Alligator mississippiensis: one gene and its partner. The protein of the gene in region 1 interacts with the protein of each later gene in a biochemical or structural test. Links are inferred from orthologs where the notes say so. Each region holds a gene or a part of one and is shown on either strand. Other genes may lie near its edges.

What was found. The genes of interacting proteins can lie anywhere in the genome.
Region 2: the proteins of F5 (region 1) and PROS1 form a complex in vitro, tested with the Homo sapiens proteins (2 studies listed by BioGRID). The link is inferred for Alligator mississippiensis from reciprocal best matches to the Homo sapiens genes F5 and PROS1.

Annotation. Positions count from the first base shown.
Region 1 is NC_081824.1:247,133,089-247,141,035, forward strand, and holds the start of F5 (coagulation factor V), read right to left. Parts: upstream 3,097-7,947; 5' UTR 2,804-3,096; coding exon 2,643-2,803; intron 1-2,642. UniProt on the Homo sapiens protein: Central regulator of hemostasis. It serves as a critical cofactor for the prothrombinase activity of factor Xa that results in the activation of prothrombin to thrombin.
Region 2 is NC_081824.1:254,487,742-254,495,662, forward strand, and holds the start of PROS1 (vitamin K-dependent protein S), read left to right. Parts: upstream 1-4,498; 5' UTR 4,499-4,652; coding exon 4,653-4,716; intron 4,717-7,921. UniProt on the Homo sapiens protein: Anticoagulant plasma protein; it is a cofactor to activated protein C in the degradation of coagulation factors Va and VIIIa. It helps to prevent coagulation and stimulating fibrinolysis.

The DNA.
Region 1 (7,947 bases):
GTGCACAGATATTACTGTGATGAGACAGCAGTGTAAGAACCTATATAGACTAGCTCTCCAATCCTAATCCTTGAAGAAGTCTCAGTGAAGCTAGTAGGCCTGTGCGAGTAGGCAGCTATTTGATCTGGCTTCGGATCTGGCCGCTTCGGATGCCAGGGATCCAATCTGGAGCTCCAGACCGGGTTTCTGCTTCGATTCGGCCAAAGCGGCTCTGAAGCTGCCTCGGAGATCCGGCCATAGTGTATAATGGGGAATCAATGAAATATTTATAACTTCATTGTTTTTTGTTTGATTTGGATTAAACTTGCAGGGGTGGTGGCCCCTGGTGAGGCCACAAAGTTTGCCAAGTTTCAAGGAGATGGGTGCAGGGGTTTGGGGGGAACTGCACTGCAAATTCTTGAAAGCAAACTCATGTCAGGTGTATGTGTTACACCACAGGGGGGTGAAAACTGCAGGGATGGTGGCCTCTGCTGCAGCCACGAAGCCTGCCAGCTGTTGGGGAGACTGATGAAGGGCTTCTGGGTTCTGGGGCCTTGCACCCCTAGTTGCTAACAGACAAAACTTGTGCCATGGGTGCTTGTGCAACTGACTGTCTGTATCTTGGGGCAGTTGATCATATTGATTCTTTCCTCTCCTTAGTGTGGGGTTTTGTAGGTGTTAATTGTTGCTAATTAACGGGCTACATTAGCTAGCAACCGTGTATTGAGCAGGTCCCACAGTGAATCATGATTGATTGGTAACTGGTAACACAGTAGCTTAGCAGCCAGGCCTGCAGTAGTTCCCCCCAAGACAGACACAGTCAGTTGCACAAGCACCCATGTCATGAGTTTTGCCTGTCAGCAGCTAGGGGTGCAGGGCCCCAGAACCCCCCTGCACCGATCTCCTCGACAGCTAGCAGGCTTCGTGGCCGCAGCAGGGGCCACCACCCCTGCAGCTTTCACCCTGCTGTGCCTTAACACACACAGGGCCATCTAAGTCACAAGTTTTGCCTGTCAAAAGCTTGAGGGGCAGTTCCCCCCAAACCTCTGCACCAATCTTCTTGAAACTTGGCAGGCTTTGTGGCCTCACCAGGCACTACCACCCCTGCAGTTTTTACCCCCCCCCCCCCCCCCCCGTGTTGTAACACATAGATGTGATGCGAGTTTTGCTTTCAAGAATTTGGGGTGCAGTTCCTCCCAAACCCCTATACCAATCTTCTTGAAATTGGCAGGCCTCATGCTCTCAGCAGAGGCTACCACCCCTGCAAATGTCATCCAAATCAGACAAAAAACAACAAAGTTGTAGATATTTCAATGATCCCCCCATTAAACCCTATGGCCGGATCTCCGAAGCGGCTCTGAACCACTTTGGAAAGCCTAACGAAGTCAGCACTTCGATCCAGACATGCTGCTTCAGACGCAGAAGCATACGAAGCTTCTCCAGATCTGAAGCAGAGTCCAAAGCCTTGCACAACTCTAGAAGCCAGCAGAGTTTTTTTCGTTTTCTTTTGTTTTTAAATAAACCTGCGTTTTGGCTTTAGGCTCATAGCTGCTCTAGTCCTGTTCATTCTGCTAGTGATATACAAGGACACTAATAGGCTATGATTTTCAGAGTATATTTTGCATGTGTAGGCCAATCATTTTGCAATTCAATCTAAAATGAGGAGTAAAAGTAACACCAGCTTAATACATTTTGCTGGAAAAGGATCCAAGCAAACATTTGACTCTGTAATCTCTGCTCACCCAAACTCTCACATAAAGCATTTTATAAAGGTTACCAAAAAGCTGTCTAGAAACAACCCTAGCTTTTGCTCACTATAGGTTTGGACTAAGGTCTGTTGAAGTCAAGGGACTTTGGCAAAGGTCCTCAATTAGATTGCAGTGGAAGAATAAAACTGAAAGGCTCTATATTACCTCCACAATTTGTAGACCCCATGTGATTTCATAATCCTTTCAAACCCACCAAGCTGCACTCATGGCATAAAAGCAAAACTGTCAAACAAAATCATTAAAAAATCTTGTGATGTTCTCATGGTGTTCTTTTTGATTTGCCTCCTGATGTTTAAGCTTTTAATGAGGAGAACTACATTTTTTGTTTTGTTTGGAACAAAAGTGGAGATTCTGATTTCTATCACTAGCTCCAGGAGCTGGCACTGTAAAAGAAAAGCATCAAATATCAGAAGTCTCAGGAAAGAACAGCAAGAATTGGCAGCACTATGCAAGCATGATTCCCACAGAGGCTTGGAGTGCACAAAGAAAAATATATATTTTTTTGTGATTCCTTAGTTGGTCTAATAAAAGGTATCATCTCTGAACCAAGAGTTCTAGTTTTGCATTTCAGAGACCATCAGAGCATGCTCAAGCCTACTTAAGCTCAGGATTGACTTTGTTAATGAAGTATCATTAAAAACTGCCCAAAGAACTGGGGGAGGTGGGGGGTGGATATCACACCTGTCTATTTGGATAGGTAAAAATTACCTCAAAACACAGTACTACATTAAAGGCCTGATCCAAGCTGGAGTCAATGGAAAGATTCCTATTGACTTGGGGGGGGTAGACCTGGTTTTTAGCCCCATCAAGTGTTAAGTCCTTAAGAGACTCAAATCCCCATCAGTTACAAGAAGAGGGTAGATACACCCCTCTTCTTCCTGCACTGTTTGTTACCTGGTCTCTTCCTTAGGTTCTGGTCTGTAGCTCCAGCTGGTGATCTGTGCTGCTATGTAATGCTCCCTGATCCGACCTGCTCTCACCACACACTGCTCCAGACTCAGCCACCACACACCCAGTAGCATCCAGAGGAGGAGGTGATTGCAGCTGTTTGTCATGGTGCAAGCTGCTCCTGATGCTGCTCTGGGAGATGCATCAGGCAGTGGCTGCTGTTTTTGTGGTTGCTTCTCAGAACTTCCCGACTAGGAAATGCATTCACTGTGGTTAGTGATGCAAGAGTAGTAGTATTTGCAACGCCCAGGTCACTGCTCTTCACCTCCTCCTCCCCCTCCTCCCGCTGATGGGAATCATTAGTGGAGATAAACAGTTCTTCAGGCTGATTTTCAAGTGAGCACCCCCTCATATCTTCCCTGTAGAAAAGTAGCCTGAACCCTACAAGACAGCATAAAATGTTCACAGGGTAGTCATTTACTAGGGCAGGAGGGTGTTAGAAGAAGCAAGCCAGAAAGCCAATGTTTATGGCTAGGGACAGAATTGCACATAAACAGGTATAAGCAATATACTTATTATACATTTAAACTTGTATAAGTGATTAGAAACCAGTTGAAATCTGTAACATAACAGAAGTTCAGCGCACATAAACTGCTTTCAAAGTGGCCAAAACTGGTTTAAGATAAACTGGATGGATGTAGTATCAGACTTAACTGATTTAGGTTAAATCAGTTTATTGAACTTCTGCCACAGATGCCCTCCAGATTCAAGGTAGCTCACAGTCCCCCAGCATCCCAGGATGCTTTGCACCTCCCCTGCCAACCTCCTTTCACACAGTGGGCAGGCTAGCCTTGGCCCAAGCTGTCTGCTCCAACAGAACAAGGTGGTGTGCTTTAGCACCCCCCAGCTTTTGACCTGGGCCACTGCAGATATATGGCTGCATTTTGGAATCAAAAGTGAATGCCTGTTCACTTGTTTATTGGTTCAATATACTCAGCTTAGACTAGCCTGAGAAGATTGAGTTGATTCAACACTGAGCTTTTCGACTCTCTACTTTGCCCATTTGGTTGAAGTGTAGGGTTAGGAAGCATGCAGAAACATTCTCCAGTTTGACCAGGAAAACTGGACCACATCTTAGGGCTGGCCCTGGTGAGTGTTCCAGCTAGAGAGATGAAAATTTCCTAGCACCCAAGGGATCACCCCAATCTCCAGAGGAGAGAGGAAGACCCTTTATCCCCAGCAGGGTGGGCATTTGAAGGGTCTGGGAACTGCTCATAGCCACAGAGCCTTGAACCACTAAATCATGATGCAAATTCAACCTAGATTTGTAGTTGCTGAAAGCTGTTACTTCATGACCAGTTTGGTGGCCTGTGGGAAGGAAATTATAGGCTTCACTTTAGTTCCCAGTACAGAGAGTCCACATCAAGGGATAACTGGCACTGTGGACCATCTTCCTGAAAGCCAACCAGACAGATCCGAATAAGCCAGGGATATATAACTCCTTCCCTCACCTACTCAGACTCCTGGCCCACCTGTAAGTAGGACCAGTCAAAAATGTTTGAATTAAATTCTTCCTATGGCAATTTTTGTTGACTTTTTCAAATTCAGTCATTAACATTTTCATGCCTTCTTTGATGTACATTTATTTTACTGAGAACATAAAATAGAAACATTGTAATCTTTTTGTGTAGAACTAAGATTTTGGTAAAACATTATCAAGTCACTGCTTAAACAATCAAAAAAGGTTTACTGAAATGTGCCCTTTATAAAAAAAAGTAAACACACTAAAACAAAAACAAAATTTTAATTTCTCCAAATTACTTGCCAACTAAGGCAGAGCAATTCTTCCTTTGGGGTATATTTGCAGGACTGCACAGGGGGAACTTGTCCATGCTGTTTCTGTTCTGTGCATGGCTATCTTCTATCCCCAGGGCTTTTGTAGATTTTAAAGCCAGAAAGTTCCATAATGATCTAGGTTGGGTCTCCTGTGTAAACTGGGCCCTTCTCTAAATTAATATTTGCTTCAAGTCCAACATCTGTGGTTGGACCAAAGTGTACAGTTTAGAAGGCACTTGCATCCCCTACAATTCTTTCCAAAGGGTATTTACCCTCATTAACATCATGCACCTAATTTCTAGTCCAACCTCAGCATCTTGCTAACAGACTAGCCTTAAAGCTCTTAATTCCAATGCCAGAGGGTATTCATTCAATACCCTTATGGGTCAAGTAATAACTGCTGAACCTCTGAATTTGGAGAGAAATACTTTCTGGCCAAGAGGAAACAACCCACTGCATAACCTTCTAGTCTCAGAACTTGCAGCACCACTGTTCCAGAGGTGGGCTGCAGGACACTGTTCTGTTCCTTGTCACTACTGGCGTAAATCATCCAAAAGTGTCCCTATAGCTGAATCAGCATGTCTTGTTCCTAGTTTGCAAAATATATAGCACCTCTCGCGTGTGTCATGTCTGGAATTAATCTGACTCATCTCTAGCTTCAACTTCTAATTGTTAGATCTGGCAATGATTTTCTTTGAGACTGAAGTGCCAACTTTTACAAATTTCTTCCTAATATGGGTATTTCCAAACTTTGCTACAGCTTTGCCTGCTAGGCTGAATACACCACTATCAAATTTCTGCACCCATGTAGATATTTGCATACTCAACAAGCCATCCCATAACCTTTTCTTGGATGAACTAGGTAGACTGAGTCCTTCACAATAAGACATGTTTTCTAGGGCTGTGCAAAGCTTCAGGTGCTGATTCAATCTGGAGGAGATTTGGCTTGATTCAGTGGCTGAATCGCTGAATCAAATCAGGGGATCAGTTAAAAGGTCTGAATCGATTCGGAAAAGATTCACAGAGCTTCGGCGATTTGGGTAGTCCCTGCTGGCTGCAGCAGGGAGCTGGACCTGGACTCCATGCTGGTAAGTAGGGGGTGGCGGGGGCTGGAGGAGGGGGGAGGGGACCATGGGGGGACCCAGGCCAGGCCCCATCCTTTGTCTGCTCCCCCAGCCCCCCCGAGCACCCCCTGACCCCCGCCTGCTCTCCCAGCCTCCCCCTCCCCCCCACCACCAATGGCTGCCCCACACACCCCAGCTCCCAGTTGTTTAAAAAAAAACCAACCAACCCTAGTCACTGGGTGCTACCAGGCAGGGGGCTATCCCCGCTGCCCTCAACAGCCCCATGCCACATGGGGGGCTCTGCCATGAGGGGGCTGGAAGAGTGGGTAGGGGTCAGGGGGCTCATGGTAGAGCCCCCCACATGGTGCAGGGCAGTGGGGGGAGGGGTTGTGGGGACTGCCCCCCCGCTGGGCAGCAGCCGGTGAGTGCCAGGCATTTCCCCACCCCCAAAGAGCCAGGAGCTGGGGTGGGCAGGGGATGAGGCCTGTGTGATTCCAAGGTTCCACTGATTTGGAAGTAGCTGAATCTCCGAATCAGATTTGACTGAATGGATTCAGGACAGTGATTCGAATCACCGAATTGAATCACTGTCCCCCAAATCGGCTGAATCCGAATACTAGCCACTTTGCACAGGCCAAATGTTTTCCCCAAACCATTCATCCTTCTTATGGCTCCCCTCTGAACTTTCTCCCATCTCTGGTAAAAGTCATACTAGTATCAAATAAAGAGGCAATAGAAGTGCTCTACTTCTACTTGAGTTTCTATTATCTACATGTTCCATGATCTCATCAGCCCTTTTAACCCCAATGTCATACCATGGAAGTTACGTTCAACAGAACATCTACCCTGCATTTTGACTGACTTCAGACTAGTACCTCTCTCCAACTGATTATCAATCATCATCCCAAATCTTTTTCCGTCATCTCATCCCAGGCCAAGACCGCTTAATCATGTAAATCAGGACTACGCTCATTTGTGCATGCATGACCTTACATTTGGCCATCATGAAACACATTTGCTTACAACCATTTTAAACAAACCAAGTCACTTTGTATCAGTGTTTTCACATCATTATTTCCCACTTCTCTAACCTTCTTTTAATCTACAGTGATTTTATGTTCTCCAGATCACTGATAAAAAATGTTAAATGACACTGGGCCAAGAACTAACCCTTGAAAGAGCCCAATAGAAACACCCTCACTTGCTGATGATTTACAATTTCTGTTTACAATTTTATGTCAAGACCAATCAGTAAGGCAGTTAAATCCAGACCCTCCCCCCCTCAAAAAAAAAAACAAAACTAATGCGCATTAAACATATTATTCTACTTTCTTAATTAAAATATCATGTTGTAACAAGTCAAACAACTTGAAGAAGTATATTGCATCAATCCTATTATTTCTATCAACACAGTTTGTTAACTCATTGAAAAAGCTGTCAAGTTAAGCAGGATCTATTTTCCATAAATTGATATTAAATGACTGTAATTATCCTAGTTTACTTTTTGATTAATCAAATCCTGTATCAGACATTCCAGGATTTTCCCCTGAGATCAGTGTCAGGCTGACAAAGTCTATGATTATCCAGGATATTTCACTTCCTCCTTAATGCTAGCCCAACATTAATTTTCATCTAGTCTTCTGAAACGTCATCAGTGTTTCAAGATTGATTGAAAATAGGTATTCATGGTTAGATCATTTAAAAATTGTTGCATGCAAGTTATCCAGACTTCCTTATTTAACAGATGTCTAACTTGAGTAGATATTGGAAAACAAACAAACAGTCTCCTTAGTTACTGCTACAAGGGAAATTATTTTCTCACAATATGGATGCATCATCTGGATTCCCCCCTCCATGCAGAATAGAAATATTTATTGAACATTCTGCATTGGTTTTGGTAATTCTACCATTTTATCCCAGATATACTTGAACTCCTCAGTATTCTTATTTGTTCTAACCATGAGTTTATTTCTCTTATTCATTTTCTATAGTTCTTAGCATCTAATTTCTATTTATTGTCAACAACTTTTTTTTAACTGTTAAGTTATTTATAGGTTGGAGGAAGGGGGAAGAGGGAGTGGCTGTTTTGTTTTGTTGGTTGTTTTTTTTTTAATAGCCAGAATGATTTTTTTTAGGCGAGTGTAGCCTTCTTCTTTGATTACAGCATGTATATTTGCTAGCACATACTTAAACATTCCCCATTCAACATTCACATTTTTCTGTTTAAATTCCTTTCTCTTTGCTGATTCAGCTCAGTCGTTTTCAGCTGTGAAACTGGACCTGTTAAATAAAGCACAAGACTTAATGTTACCAGTTTAGACTTTATTATATTTGCACATACCAAATGTAATCCAGTCATGATCCATTGCACCTAAGGAACCAGTGGTTTGCAGCTCTGTGTTGAGCTCCTC
Region 2 (7,921 bases), about 7.4 Mb from region 1:
GGGCTGGGGCTCTGAATGCCAGTGCAGCTGTTTGCAGCCTCATGGCTGCCTGCTGCAAGTAGCCTGGGCTTTGGGCAGGTTTTCATTCCTGTTTTCCTGGTCTCCAACTATTTCCTTTTTTGCAAATAGCCTCATTTCTACCTTGTATTCTATCACTGTAATGTCTCCCTTTAGCTTTCCTGACCCTGCTTTTGTCCCCCTCCCCTCTCTGCTTTACCTTTCTGCTTTACCTTTTGTCTTTCTAATTTCTATTTATTTATATTCTCACTGATATCCTGCCACACTTTAAGCTTCTCTCATTCCTTGGACTCTCAGAACAGCAGAAGGACTATACCTGAAGAAGGGTTATTGCACCCCAAAGCTTGCCAAGAACTTTTTTCCAACTACTCAGTTGGTCTAATAAAAGCTATCACATCTATGCAAAGAACCTTGCCTGCCTGTTCTTCATAAGGCCCCTTCTGGCCCTACTTTTCTCTGATGCTATATGCCTAAAATTTGTTCGACCTGTCTGCTCTAAAATAACTTTAGCCGTACTGTTATACTGTCATACCATTAACATACTGTCATACTGTTAACATCATAGGTCCACTGTTTGTAGCTGAAAGTACAATGGGGAAGTTACCAATAAACCTTTAAGAAGAGGGAAAAAACTACTTATGTAATACATAGATAGCTTGTTTTGCTAACATTTTGGAGAAAGAAAACTCAAACATGCTTTCATTCTAGAAAAGTAGGTAGAACAGAATAAAAAAAATAATTGAATAGTGATAAAAGTTACTAATCAGTGCAAGCTTTGGGTTTCTACAATTACTAATTCTTCTGCTAATATAATTATGAGTAAGCACACTTATACTGAAGACCGTATTGACTCAGTTTTATTTCAAAGCAGACTTTGAATATCTGTGAAAATGACTTGATTCTCTAGTATAGCAAAACACAAGCTATAGCAGGCATAGGGGAAATATCTGGGAATTCCAATAAAGTGACATTCAAACATGCCAGGTTTTGTTAGGTCATTTCTGCTTCATATTTATTTTATTTTGTCAAGCAATCAGGCAGATTCCTGCTGTAAAGACTACAGAATTCCCTTACTCTTTTAGAAATACTTGGTCCTTATTCCCTAAGGTATATTGAGTGGTACATATAGAGGTGATTACATAACAACTAAAAAAAGTCTCATTTTTGTATATTGTGTGTAGGGTTGTGGGGGTAGAGGGTGTGTGTGAGGGATGGGTGTTGTGGAGGTGCGCACATGTGTGTGTCAGAGAGCTGCCTGTGTGCTAGGTTCTGTAACCTGGCCAGGGGTGGGGGGAAGATGAGTAGGGGGCACATGTGGGGGCCCACTCTCTCTCTCTATCCAGCCTGTGGCTGCCCACTCAGTGCTTCCAATGGAGCTAAGCCCTGCCTGCTCCTATCTGGGGCAGCTTGCAACGTACTCCCATTCCTGGCCAGCCCAGGTACTGCTTGGCTCCCACCACCTCCAGAGGTTCCTCCTCCTCCTGCCCCTTCTGTGTTGCTCTGGGCATCAGGTAGCACGGGGAAGTGGCAGCAGCCATGGAGATGTGTGCCAGGCATCACACGCTCACACAGAGTGTTAGCCTCTTATTCTGCATCTGTAGTCATGTATCCTTGAGTGTGGCATCAAGAGGTTGGGTGCTAGTGAGGAAGCTCCTGTGTGACTTCAGACACTTATGTGCTGAGGGATGGTCACACATTGGGTGTCTCACATTTTTAGTTTGTTTCCATCCTTCTGTCCTACTAGCCACTGCTCTTATGATGTCAGGTGGAGTGATGCCATCCAGCAGGCACACACTGTTTAGGCTGGCAGGCTTCAGAAATCCTGTGATGTATTGGCTGCTATCATGAAGTCAAGGTGCTCAAGTATGGATGTCTCCCCTAAAAGACAAGTTACAAGGACGAGTTACAACTTATAACTTAACTGGTTTTAAGGACATCCATTAAATGGTATGTCCTCAGCTGAGAAAGAGCAAAAGGAGTAAACAGAAAGTGATTTTCCCCAGGAGTTAACCACAGGAGGGAGCCAGGGAGCAGGAAGCTTGCACAGCCCATTAGTAGATGTGCTGGGTATCTTTTTTTGGTTTGTTCTCTCTCTCTCACAGCCCAGGTGTCCTCCAGAAAGCAAAGGAGCCATAAATGGAGACTGGATCAAGCAGTCGTGACTTGTGTGGAAAGTGCCATGTTTGTGTTCCTCCCAGAGCAGGGGTTGGCAACGTTTTTAGGCAGAGTGCCAAAACCCACACAACCTTGATTTGTAAAATGTTGGTGTGCCAGGGGCAGATGGCAGGGGAGCTGTGAGGGACCTGATCCTTGTTGTGGCAGCACAGCCCTGGCCCCTTTCTCAAGGCATGTGTGCCGCACAAAATGTCTTTGTGTGCTATGCTCTGGCACTTTTGCAGGGGGTCACCAACCCCTGTCCCAGAGGGTTAAAACCACTTAATCTGTACTAAGTATAAGCTGGTGTCTGTCTTGGAGGAAAAGATTGAAAGGGTGGAATCACAGGTGTCCACACTATTAAGGAAAATGAAGGTTTCTTGGACAGGAGTTATGAGGGGCTGGCGCTGGAGAGACCCAAGGGAAAAGAAGAGATGACTTTTCTGGAAGAAGGAGAGTCCCCAGAATTCAAGAGAAACCTCCTGAAGTCAGCAACTGCTTTCAAGCATTGTGTGGTGGAAGGGCTGAGGAGGAAAAGGCAGAGGGCAGGACAGCAGCAGGCTAGAGCTGAAGGATGCAGCAGTCTGGAGAGCAGGAAGTACAGTGTCCTAGGGATAGAGGCTCTGAGGCCTGTGCACCAAGAAGGAAGAGAAGAGCGATAGTGGTTGGGGGGGACCTTCTGTGGGGGATAGAAAAACTCATCTGTTCTCACACAGGGGCTCTGGAGCCCAAATCCAGGGAAGCCTGCCACAGCTCATCCCTCCCTCAGGCCACACCCTAGCCCTGCTTGTCCGCCTGGGTACCAGCCATGCTGCTAGCAATGTCACCCAGCAGGTCAGGCGACCAGTGCCATAGCAAGGAATTTTGGTGCCCAGGACAAGCCCACAGTGGCAGCCTGTCCTTGCCCCATGCACAGATCCGGGGGCACACAGTCCCCATGCTTGCCCGGGGGTGCACGCGGCGGTGGGATCTGCCCTCCCCCCTGTCCCCACGCCCCCCTAAATGAGCCACTCATGGCTCTGTCCTGTGCCCCACCCTGGCTGGGCAGCTCCTGTTGGCACCCCGTCACTTCGGCGCCTGGGGCGGTAGCCCTGCTTGCCCTGCCTTGCTACGGCACTGCAGGGGACACTAGGAGGCAGGTGGACTGAGAAGCTTAGAGGCAAGCAGTCTCATCCGCCCTCCCTTGGGCCTGCAGCTCTTGCCCCTGCCCTGCTGCTCCAAGGCGGTGGTGGGGCCACGAGGCGGGAATGAGAAAGTCACTCAGGCGCAGGCCATAGAGAGTGCCAGGAGGGAGTCCAGCAGTGCCCCTCAGCTGGCACTCTCTGAGGCCTGCTTAATTTATGGTGCTTTATAAATTTAAACACTATAAATTAAGAGGTGCTTAATTTATGCCCACAGCTGGGCAGGTCGCTGCTTTGCTTTGCTTGGCTCCAGCCCGGCTGAGCAAAGCTGCAGGCACAGCATTGCCAGGCCTTAAATACGAAATTATTGTATTGGAAGTTTAAAATGATCAATTTGCTGAAAAACTTCAGTATGCTGACAAAATATGCCCATCAGCTGCAAATAAATCTTCTTGTTGACTTTATAGCGTTCACTGGAAACTGTTTGGAGCGAGGGAGAAGTGGGCCATCAAAGTGGAAGTCTTGCTCTGTTTTGAGGCCAGCAGCCCTGAGACTGCGTTGAGAGCTAACCCAAAAGTGGGCTCTCGACCTCCTGAAGACTCAGGACAAGCGCAGTGGCTTCTTAACTTGGCAGGGGAAATACCATGCATCTGTGCAAACAAGGTCTGTGTTTTTACCTGTCTGTGAGCATATTCTGAAAGTGGAATTTAGGTCCTGACTTCTGACAATATGTTCCACGTATCTCGAAGAAAAACTGCAAGAAGGCAGTTTTCCCGAACCACTCCTCTGGTGTGGTTCAGTACTCACCGAGGTGCGCAGCTTTAAGCCCAGTTGATGGAAAAGGGAGTCTCCTCCCTTGCTTATGACTGAGGGCAAGCAAAACTTGAGGGCGACTAGGATGCCAGCCAAAGGATTTGGAAACATCTGAAGCCCCAGATGTGGGTGGCGGATGTTTGCCAGTAGCAGGGCCCCTTACGGTTCTGGACTCTTGGATTTGGAATGAGTTGGGGCTAATTTGGCCTGGACTACAAATGAAATGAAAAAAACCAGCAAACCCCAAAGGGGGTTCAGGCTCCCCGAGAGCGGCTTGGGCTCTGCATCTGCTGATGCCTCAAACCCACGAGCTGCCTCACAGGCGGTGGCAGAGTTTGAACGCGGTTTGCTCTGACGAATCGCACCAGGCTGAAGACGGGCGCAACGCGGGGGGTGCGGCGGGCGGGCGGGCAGTGGCGGGGCCGTGGCGCCCCGCCCGTGGTCACTCCCCCGCCGCCGCCGCCCGCGGCTGCACTCGGCCAGGCCGGAGCGAGCGAAGCCACCACTAGCAGCAGCAGCGGCAGCAGCAGCCCGGGCGGCCCCGCCATGAGGCCGCTGGCGGGCGGCGGGTGCCTGCTCGTCCTTCTGGCGCTCGCCGAGGCCCGCGTCTGTGAGTGCCGCGCTCCCGCGCCCCAAGGGGCAGCAAGGGGGGGGGGCGGACTGGGGGCCTGTGGCAGCCCCGCGCTCGCAGCGCCGCCGGGCGCCCCCTCTGGGCCGCCTCATGGACGGGGCACCTCCACTCCCTGCCCCCCGGGCGAGGGCCGCTGGGAGCTGTAGGGACACACGCACACACACGGGCCCACACAGGCAGGGATATAGACATGCACAGAGACGGGCACGGGGACACACACATGGACATGGACACGCACAGGGAGGGACACACGCACAGAGACAGGAACACACACAGGGATGCATAGTCACAGACAGACAGACAGGGACACACACATGGACACAAGGACACACACTGACACACACAGATGGGGGACACAGGCAGGGACACACACACAGACAGGACTCACACAGGCACACGCACAGGGATACACAGTTCCAAACACAGGACACACATGGACACAGGGACACACACAGACAGGACATGAACACATGCATAGAGACAGGGACACACACAGGGATACACAATCACAGACAGACATACAGGAACACATACATGAACATGGGGACACGCTGACACACAGGGTACACGCATGGACATGGACACACAGGCAGGACACGTACACACGCAGAGACAGGGTCACAGACACGGGTACACAGGCACACAGGGCACACACATGGACACAGGGACACACACAGGTAAGGGCACACACATGGACACACACAGACACAGGGGCACACACATGGACACCCTGCTATCAGGGGGAGACTATTGGGCATACCTCAAGTTGATTTTGAGGGGGACCTATAGAGAAACCAGGGGCGCAAGGTCATAGGCTTCAAGCACAGAGCAGGGCACACCAGGCAGCACCCACTGGCCCTTGAATGAGTCCAGGGAGCCCATGGATGCTGCCCAGTGAAGCTCTGCCCAGAGATGTGGGTGCACAAGGGACATGAATGCAGCCCCGCCGTCCCCAGGAGCCCTCCCAGCCAGAGCCTTCTTTCTGGTCAGGTATACTGCCAGCTTCGCTTGGGGCACTGTGTGACACAGGAGTCTGGGGCTGGGGCCACTGTGCAACACACTACACTGGGCAAGGTTGACCTGTGGCCTGATGCAGTCATCAGCAGTTCTTATGTTCTTATTTTTCTGCGGTCCAAAAAGGGGTAGGAACCGAGAATTGGCATTTTCTGAGGGGCGCATTGAGCTTATCAAAAGGTGTCTCAGATTTGTGGAGGGATGCCTTGATTCCACACAGGTTGAGAACCACTGTTTTAACTGCTAAAATGTGCTCTCCTGGCACTAGAACTGCCTCGACAATGCAGGTCACTGAGCTTTACCCCTTGCTCAAGATTGGGAGTCTGAAGGATAATGTGAGTTGTGACCAAAGAATTGCAAATGGCAACATCCAAGTGCTATAATGTTTTGTTTTTTTTATTCCAAATTCTTCGCAACAGAAGAATCACTCTGTTCTTTTTGAGAATGGAGGGCTGGTCTTTTCTGAGAGGTGCCCTGAGTCTATCAAAGGGGGCCTTGACTCTGTAGAGGGCTGCCTTGAATCTAAATAACTTGAGACCATAAAAAACCCCCAAATCAAAAACAAAACTATATAAAAGCACTTGGATGTTGGTGCTTCAGATTTACTACTCATTTATTTTCTTCATTTGAGCAATTATTGTCTGAGGGTTGACTGAACTGCACCAGTCCAAAGCTGCATACTTAGGTGATGCTTTCCAGCTGGGTAGGGTCATGGCTGCTAATCTGGTTGCAGACATAAAGTGAGATGAGGGGAAATGAAAAGATGTGCCTGGTGTCCACACAACTTCTGTGGGGGCATGGGCAACTGATGCCTCCTGAGTCTGGGGGGGCACCCGCAGAAGCAGGTATGGAGCTGGCGAGCACCCACAGATACCGCTGGTGGCATTGGTGGCAGGGCTGGTCCTGTCAGGGGGATCATGTGGCTTCCCCTCTCCCCGCCCCCGGTGATTCCCCTACCAGTCGCCTATACGTGGGATGAAGAAAAAAATATTTAAGGGGTAGCAATGTTAGACTGGTGTCGTCTGTTTGAACACTAGACTCAGCTCTGAGTCTTTTGTTGGGCCTGCAGGTCTGGACGTGCACAGATAAGGAGCACTTGCTGTTACCAATGAGTATTCTTGTGAGATCTTGAGTTTTTAAGAAACGGCAGAATTTTAAAATTACACTTCTTATTCTGAGTCCAGTGTTAGAAACAGCCAGCTTGGTGAAAGGGAAGTAATTAGTGGCAGTAGCAAAATAAGAGCTGCAAAGAATGTAAGCCTGGTTTTGACCTGTTTTACTAATGATTAAACCTGTAGAAGAAAAGCTAATGTTTACTATTTAAGCCTTAGTTGAAATGCTAGAGGATTTCTGACTGTGAAAATGACAGTAAAGCAGGATGAAAGTTCATTTCCTAACTTATTTTTGTGTAGATCATGGAAAAACCCCCATCATTTTCCTCCCTCTGTATGTTTCTTTTTTTTTTGTTTCTTTTGGTTTCCCTTCTTCATTATTTCTCCTGCCACGTTTTTCCATCAACAATTACATTTATATCTGAAAATAATTGTCAAATCAGTGCAGACCCCTTTGTTCCAGCTGGTCCTGTATCCTAGCTGTTGCCCTGACTAATTAACCATGCCAAGTAATGCTAAGAAAAAGGGCTAATGAACACACGGTCCCATACAGATTGTGGCTGGTGCTTAATTTATGCCCCTGAAGCGTGAGAATGGATCTCTTAAAAACAAACAAACAAACATTACTGTATTTATTGTAACCAGTTCCGCTGTTCTTATCCATGTAAATGATGAATCTGTTTTGAATCAAACTATTTTTGTCTGTAATAGTGGGCATCACTTTGAAATGGTTGCAACCCTTAAAAAACTCTTTTAATTATGTAGCTTAAATGTGCCACCTTTTAGTTTAATCAAGAACCCCTTAGTTCAGTGGTGCTCAACATTTTTCCCTGATGGGCCAGATGGGCAGTGTCTGGTCAGACCACAGGCCAGTGGAGGGCAGGGGTCAGCCTGGCCTGAACCCCGCCTTGCAGGGGGTTAAGGGAGCTTCACTTGGCCCTTGTGGTGATGGGGTGGACTTGACTTGCATCTGGTGGGGAGGAGGGGAGCTTGACCCAGCCCTGCAGGGGGAAAAGGGGAGTGACTTGTCCCCAGGGGAGAAGGGAGCATGTCTCACC